Linked DNA regions of Macaca mulatta. The protein of the gene in region 1 binds, or shares a complex with, the protein of each later gene. Links are inferred from orthologs where the notes say so. Each region holds a gene or a part of one and is shown in the gene's direction. Other genes may lie near its edges. The genes, in order: HNRNPH2 and SRSF1.

Evidence for each region.
Region 2: HNRNPH2 (region 1) and SRSF1 share a complex: the UniProt entries of both Homo sapiens proteins name them as parts of the ribonucleoprotein complex. The link is inferred for Macaca mulatta from reciprocal best matches to the Homo sapiens genes HNRNPH2 and SRSF1.

Annotation. Positions count from the first base shown.
Region 1 is NC_133426.1:108,302,184-108,306,127, forward strand, and holds the end of HNRNPH2 (heterogeneous nuclear ribonucleoprotein H2), read left to right. Parts: intron 1-1,047; exon of another isoform or gene 1,048-1,068; 5' UTR 1,069-1,121; coding exon 1,122-2,471; 3' UTR 2,472-3,288; downstream 3,289-3,944. UniProt on the Homo sapiens protein: This protein is a component of the heterogeneous nuclear ribonucleoprotein (hnRNP) complexes which provide the substrate for the processing events that pre-mRNAs undergo before becoming functional, translatable mRNAs in the cytoplasm. Binds poly(RG).
Region 2 is NC_133421.1:51,982,171-51,986,486, forward strand, and holds the start of SRSF1 (serine/arginine-rich splicing factor 1), read left to right. Parts: upstream 1-1,390; 5' UTR 1,391-1,593; coding exon 1,594-1,787; intron 1,788-2,195; coding exon 2,196-2,380; intron 2,381-2,747; coding exon 2,748-2,920; intron 2,921-3,103; exon of another isoform or gene 3,104-3,120; coding exon 3,121-3,315; 3' UTR 3,316-3,680; coding exon of another isoform or gene 3,681-3,719; 3' UTR 3,720-4,316. UniProt on the Homo sapiens protein: Plays a role in preventing exon skipping, ensuring the accuracy of splicing and regulating alternative splicing.

The DNA of each region.
Region 1 (3,944 bases):
TGGATCCCTGGGCAGGTTAGTCTGTTTCATTTAACCATTTGACCTCCAACCAATAGAACTGATCAACTAGTCCCTCCTTGATACTATGCTTATACCCCACCCAGAGGGTCATGGCAAGTATAATGTATATTTGCATTTACATCTTTAATAATGATATTTGGTGCTCCTGTAGGATCATAAGCCCTTTCTGGGCTTATTGATTCTTGTATGCCAGAGCTGAGTATTGGACATGGCAACTAAAAAATATTTCTAAAATGAATGTGTGAATTCCCAATAATGTCTTTTTTTCATTTATCTCTGAAGCCCAAATATTTCCCTGATTTTATTGATTTGCATACATTTGTATATAAGGAGATTATATAAAGAACGTATATAACCTGTGTTTTGTTTGTGTTTTAATGTTTTAATTGTTGTTTAATCTTTTGATCTAGTGAAGTTTTTTATGTGTGTATATTCAGATATAGCTATCTTTTATTTGTTGACCTATCCCACTGATTTGTTGATGTTATTTTATTTATTTATTTATTTTTTGAGACTTAGTTTCGCTCTGGTGGCCCATGCTGGAGTGCAGTGGCGTGATCTCGGCTCACCTCCACCTCCTGGGTACATAAAAGTGGTTTTCCTGCCTCAGCCTCCCAAGTAGCTGGGATTACAGGCGCCTGCCACCACGCCCAGCCAATTTTTTGTATTTTTAGTAGAGACAGGGTTTCACCATGTTGGCCAGGCTGGTCTCTGACCTCTAGGTGGTACACCCGCCTGACCTCAGGTGGTACTACTGACCTCAGGTGGTACACCCGCCTCAGCCTCCCAAAGTGCTGGGATTACAGGCGTGAGCCACCACACCCGGCCGATTGCTATTAATTTTTAATGGTATCCAACATGTAATAGGCATTGAATAAATAACTTAAAAAATGAATGAGTTAAAAATTTGGTGAACTCTTTGTTTATACAGACATCTTACAGAAAAGCTGTCAGCATAGTTGAATTTTCTATTAATAGTTTGCTTTTTTATCTTACTATATCACGGGCATTTTTCCATGACAGTAGTCTTCTAATTTTTTTTTTCAGCTACACTAAAATTGCATTGAGCCAAACTTGCCACCAAGAGCCCAACAGTCACCATGATGCTGAGCACGGAAGGCAGGGAGGGGTTCGTGGTGAAGGTCAGGGGCCTACCCTGGTCCTGCTCAGCCGATGAAGTGATGCGCTTCTTCTCTGATTGCAAGATCCAAAATGGCACATCAGGTATTCGTTTCATCTACACCAGAGAAGGCAGACCAAGTGGTGAAGCATTTGTTGAACTTGAATCTGAAGAGGAAGTGAAATTGGCTTTGAAGAAGGACAGAGAAACCATGGGACACAGATACGTTGAAGTATTCAAGTCTAACAGTGTTGAAATGGATTGGGTGTTGAAGCATACAGGTCCGAATAGCCCTGATACTGCCAACGATGGCTTCGTCCGGCTTAGAGGACTCCCATTTGGCTGTAGCAAGGAAGAGATTGTTCAGTTCTTTTCAGGGTTGGAAATTGTGCCAAATGGGATGACACTGCCAGTGGACTTTCAGGGGCGAAGCACAGGGGAAGCCTTTGTGCAGTTTGCTTCGCAGGAGATAGCTGAGAAGGCCTTAAAGAAACACAAGGAAAGAATAGGGCACAGGTACATTGAGATCTTCAAGAGTAGCCGAGCTGAAGTTCGAACCCACTATGATCCCCCTCGAAAGCTCATGGCTATGCAGCGGCCAGGTCCCTATGATAGGCCGGGGGCTGGCAGAGGGTATAATAGCATTGGCAGAGGAGCTGGGTTTGAAAGGATGAGGCGTGGTGCCTACGGTGGAGGGTATGGAGGCTATGATGACTATGGTGGCTATAATGATGGATATGGCTTTGGGTCTGATAGATTTGGAAGAGACCTCAATTACTGTTTTTCAGGAATGTCTGATCATAGATATGGAGATGGTGGGTCCAGTTTCCAGAGCACCACAGGGCACTGTGTACACATGAGGGGGTTACCTTACAGAGCCACTGAGAATGATATTTATAATTTCTTCTCACCTCTTAATCCCATGAGAGTACATATTGAAATTGGACCCGATGGCAGAGTTACTGGTGAGGCAGATGTTGAATTTGCTACTCATGAAGATGCTGTGGCAGCTATGGCAAAAGACAAAGCTAATATGCAACATAGATATGTGGAGCTCTTCTTAAATTCTACTGCAGGAACAAGTGGGGGTGCTTACGATCACAGCTATGTAGAACTTTTTTTGAATTCTACAGCAGGGGCAAGTGGTGGGGCTTATGGTAGCCAAATGATGGGAGGGATGGGCTTATCCAACCAGTCTAGTTATGGAGGTCCTGCTAGCCAGCAGCTGAGTGGTGGTTATGGAGGTGGTTATGGTGGTCAGAGCAGTATGAGTGGATATGACCAAGTTCTGCAGGAAAATTCCAGTGACTATCAGTCAAACCTTGCTTAGGTAGAGAAGGAGCACCAAACAGCTACTCCATATATAAAAGCTGTACATTTGTGGGAGTTGAATAGAATGGGAGGGATGTCTAGTATATCCAGTATGATTGGTAAATGGGAAATATAATTGATTCTGATCACTCTTGGTCAGCTTCTCTTTCTTTATCTTTCTTTCTCCTTTTTTAAGAAAACAAGAGTTAAGTTTAACAGTTTTGCATTACAGGCTTGTGATTCATGCTTACTGTAAAGTGGAAGTTGAGATTATTTTAAAACTTCAAGCTCAGTAATTTTGAACACTGAAACATTCATCTAGGACATAATAACAAAGTTCAGTATTGACCATAACTGTTAAAACAATTTTTAGCTTTCCTCAAGTTAGTTATGTTGTAGGAGTGTACCTAAGCAGTAAGCGTATTTAGGTTAATGCAGTTTCACTTATGTTAAATGTTGCTCTTATACCACAAATACATTGAAAACTTCGGATGCATGTTGAGAAACATGCTTTTCTGTAAAACTCAAATATAGGAGCTGTGTCTACGATTCAAAGTGAAAACATTTGGCATGTTTGTTAATTCTAGCTTTTTGGTTTAATATCCTGTAAGGCACGTGAGTGTACACTTTTTTTTTTTTTTTTTTTTTTTTTTTGAAGGATACGGGACAATTTTAAGATGTAATACCAATACTTTAGAAGTTTGGTCGTGTTGTTTGTATGAAATTCTGAGGCTTTGGTTTAAATCTTTCCTTGTATTGTGATTTCCATTTAGATGTATTGTACTAAGTGAAACTTGTTAAATAAATCTTCCTTTTAAAAACTGGAAAAAATCTTGTGCTGATTGATTTTTATTATGTTCTGTCATATGGGCACGCTGATTGACTTTATAATTCCCTCAAAATTAAAATTTTTAATTTTAAAATTATAAACAATATATTTAGCATCTTTATATGTTCATTGTTGCATATATCATTAATTATTTCTAAGATATATCCCTAGAAATGGGATTGCTGAGTCAAAGATACACTCATTTTTAAGGCTTCTGATTTGTGTTACCAGCAAGATTCTGGTACTTTATCTTTTTACCTGGAGTGTGTGCTTTATTTTCCCCCTTATGCCCTCCTTATTGATGCACATTATTCTTTGTGATCTTTGCCAGTCTGTTAGTTGAGAAATGATATCTCATTGCAATTTTAATTTGTATTTTTTTGATTAATATTAAAGTTGAACATTTTCTTCTTTTTTAAAAAAACTTACCATGTCTACAGGACTATTGAGCTACTTTTGGAGCCACTTACCAAGATAGTATTCTCTAAAATCCAAAGAAGTGAAAGCGAATAAATAATCCTTTGTATTTCATCACAAACTAGAAGGCACCTTTGTATGTTAAAAAAGAAGTAGGCTTACAATTATGTGTCAAAAACAAAACATAAAAAAGAAGCAGGCTTATGTTAAGGAAATAAATTGTCTCCTCCATGAATTCATTAGGAG
Region 2 (4,316 bases), on another chromosome or scaffold:
TGCAGGATTTGATTTTGTTGTTGTTTCCCCCTCCTTTTTTTTTTTTTTTTTTTTTTTTTTTTTTTAGGAGGAGTCTTACTCTGTAGCCCAGGCTGCAGCGCAATGGCGCGATCTCGGCTCACTGCAACCTCCACCTCCAGGGTTCTAGCGATTCTCCTGCCTCAGCCTCCCGAGTAGGCTGGATTACAGGCGCCCGCCACCAAGCCCGGCTAATTTTTTTTTTTTCAGTAGAGACGGGATTTCACCATGTTGGCCAGGCTGGTCTCGAACTCCTGACCTCAAGTGATCTGCCGCCTCTACCTCCCAAAGTGCTGGCGTGAGCCACCGCGCCCAGCCTAATTTTAATTTGAATTCATTAGCGACGTTTAAAAATCCCAGGATTTCACATAAAAATCCAGATTGCAGACGTCGAAAAAAAATGTAAAATGTTATCTCCCAATGTCGCAGGCAAATAAGATCACAGTCCTGAATAGCAACCGCGGTCTCTAGTGGACACGGCTCTCATCCATTTCGGTCCATTTTATTACCTGGGAGGACCGGTATTTTCAATTTCAGTAACTTTTAGAGGAAACTTTTGAAAAAAGGACTGCACACACGCACCTTTTCTTCCTTCTCGTTCTTTAAAAGGAAACAACAGAAACAATTCATTCTGCAGGCAATCTGCGCTAGTCCCACGGATAGGCGATTAACAAGAGATAAAGAGGTGTGGGTACCAGAAGCAGTACTGTTACCCCTTCTGGTTGGCGGGTACCACGTTGAAAGGTCGGGGTACGGGCCCACTGCGACTAGCACAAAGAGTGCTGAACTGAGCTATGCAAAGTTCTGACGAGAAGGTGGAATGGTTCTTAATGAAAAGGATTAAGGAATCTAAACCGGTTTCGCTAAATTAGACACATCTGTCTAAGCAGCCACAGCTTGTTCGCAGCAGGGGCGGGAAGACAAACCAACGCCCCAGCTCTCTATTCAGTCACCGGCAACTCAGCTCTGGACTAGACGCACTCTACGAAGATACCCGGGTTTCCGGAGCAACGGCCCGAGCCCTCCCCCTTTAGCCCCGCCTCCGAGTCTCTTTCCCGCCAAAGGCCGTTATCGCCGCAGAGCATGGTGGGACAAGGCTTTAGGCTAGGTTTCACCAAGTCCTTTGAAGGCGCCGAGTTGCTTTCAAAGCTCCTCATTCCTGGGGAAATTGACTATCCTTCAAGACTCGACCTGGATGACTAGCTCCTTTAACGAGAGTTCTTTATTTAACTTTTACCAAACGGCTGCTCACTCTATTCGCAAACCACCCCAAGCGGGGAACGCGGGGGACTTTTTTTCCCCCTTCGTGCGGAGGGTGACGTCGCGCGTGCGTGCGCGTGCGTTGCGCGTATCCCTCGCAGCACCCGTTGCGCTCCCGCGCGTGCGTGTTGGGATCGAATCGCTGTTTCCTTCCGCTTCTCTTCCTCTGTCTCCCCCCCATATCCGTGCGCCGAGCTGATAAAGGCGCCATTTTGGAGGGGCCGCGGGAGACGTGGTGCCGCTGCGGGCTCGCTCTGCGGTGCGCTAGGCTTGGTGGGAAGGCCTGTTCTCGAGTCCGCGCTTTTCGTCACCGCCATGTCGGGAGGTGGTGTGATTCGTGGCCCCGCAGGGAACAACGATTGCCGCATCTACGTGGGTAACTTACCTCCAGACATCCGAACCAAGGACATTGAGGACGTGTTCTACAAATACGGCGCTATCCGCGACATCGACCTCAAGAATCGCCGCGGGGGACCGCCCTTCGCCTTCGTTGAGTTCGAGGACCCGCGGTGAGGCGGCATGGGGCTTGCAGCCTTGAGGAAATAGGTCCGAGTAGTCGGGGAAGGCTCCAAGGCCTTAACATAGAGAACGGGGAAGCGGGGGCTCTTAGAGAGGTTGGGGCGAGACTGTATCGCCCATGCAGGAGTCGAGTAAGGAGCTGAGTTGGTGTGGCTTCTCTGGCGCCTCGCCTTGGACGTCCCCGGAGCCCATTCGCAGGCTGGAGCGGGAAACTGAGGCGCTGAGGGCTGGTGTAGTGGTTGGGAGCCTGGCGTGTTTCTGGGTGGGGGAGGGGCCATTCCTATTATGCGGCGCATGTGGGCTCTTCCACGTTGGGTGCGCATGTGCGGGGGGTTCCCGACTGAGCGAGCTTCTCCTCCTGGTCTTTCTCATGCCTTTTACTTTCTGCGATCCCGCAGAGACGCGGAAGACGCGGTGTATGGTCGCGACGGCTATGATTACGATGGGTACCGTCTGCGGGTGGAGTTTCCTCGAAGCGGCCGTGGAACAGGCCGAGGCGGCGGCGGGGGTGGAGGTGGCGGAGCTCCCCGAGGTCGCTATGGCCCCCCATCCAGGCGGTCTGAAAACAGAGTGGTTGTCTCTGGTGAGTGTACTTGGTTGTGTGGATTGATGTGAAGGGACGGAAGCTACCTAAAATTTTTGTCTTGCATGATCGGTTTAACAATTGCAAATTTTTCATGCTAGGTCTTAAATTGCTTTAGTTTTTGGGTGAATTTAATAAACGAGGATTGCTGCTGTGGTGATTTACCAAATTAGGTTGCGGTACTAGATACGAAGATCCGTTACAAATAATTTTGGACTCTGGATCCCAGAATCTTACCAGCTCTTTACCTGGTATCACTTAAGTACACCTATTAAGTATTTTAAAGTACTCTTTGTTCTAATGTACCTTACCAGCTTAACGTGAAATTTAAGATAATTGATACTAAGAAAAAAAATCACTTTTTCAGGACTGCCTCCAAGTGGAAGTTGGCAGGATTTAAAGGATCACATGCGTGAAGCAGGTGATGTATGTTATGCTGATGTTTACCGAGATGGCACTGGTGTCGTGGAGTTTGTACGGAAAGAAGATATGACCTATGCAGTTCGAAAACTGGATAACACTAAGTTTAGATCTCATGAGGTAGGTTATACGCTTATTCTTTTCTTTGACCAGAATTGGATACAGTGGTCTTAACAGTGGAATTTGAAGGTAAGAATTCAGGCAAGGGTGTCCAAGTAAATTGCCAGATTTCTGGTTGTAGTTGCATTGTATGCATTCAGCATGCCTGAAGATAGATGAAAGCTTAGATCTTTCAATGGAAAGTTCTGTCTATCCAATAGGGAGAAACTGCCTACATCCGGGTTAAAGTTGATGGGCCCAGAAGTCCAAGTTATGGAAGATCTCGATCTCGAAGCCGTAGTCGTAGCAGAAGCCGTAGCAGAAGCAACAGCAGGAGTCGCAGTTACTCCCCAAGGAGAAGCAGAGGATCACCACGCTATTCTCCCCGTCATAGCAGATCTCGCTCTCGTACATAAGATGATTGGTGACACTTTTTGTAGAACCCATGTTGTATACAGTTTTCCTTTATTCAGTACAATCTTTTCATTTTTTAATTCAAACTGTTTTGTTCAGAATGGGCTAAAGTGTTGAATTGCATTCTTGTAATATCCCCTTGCTCCTAACATCTACATTCCCCTCGTGTCTTCGATAAATTGTATTTTAAGTGATGTCATAGACAGGATTGTTTAAATTTAGTTAACTCCATACTCTTCAGACTGTGATATTGTGTAAATGTCTATTCTGCCCTGGTTTGTGTGAACTGGGATGTTGGGGGTGTTTGTGGTTATCTTACCTGGGGAAGTTCTTATGTTTATCTTGCTTTTCATGTGTCTTTCTGTAGACATATCTGAAGAGATGGATTAAGAATGCTTTGGATTAAGGATTGTGGAGCACATTTCAATCATTTTAGGATTGTCAAAAGGAGGATTGAGGAGGATCAGATCAATAATGGAGGCAATGGTATGACTCCAAGTGCTATTGTCACAGATGAAATTGGCAGTATTGACCTTATACTAAAAGGCAGGGGTTAAAAATGATTATATACGTTTTCCTTAAAACACTTGCAAACATTTTATTCAGTTATCTTTAGCTACAATTGCTTTGCTCTTTAAACCTTGGCAATTGTGGCAAAATTATATTGCCCATTTTGTAGCAACTTATTTTGCTCCCTTCCCCCCATTTTTGTTTTAATAGGGACTAATGTGGGAAGAACTGGCTAATTTGTCACAGTGCTTAGTTACAACTGTTAATGTGTGACCTGCTGTTGGTGTACATGTGGGTACAGGGTGTCTTTAAATCCAACAAGATAGAGTATAATATCAATACTGCTAAATCTGCATGTCCTCTGTGTGACTGATAGAGCGTTGCTATTTCATTTTTTTAAGACAAAATGAAAGCAAAATATAGAGTTCCAATGTATTGGTGTAGATAATCTAGTTGGGAATACTTTTAAGTCTCACCTTCCCCTTTAAACTAA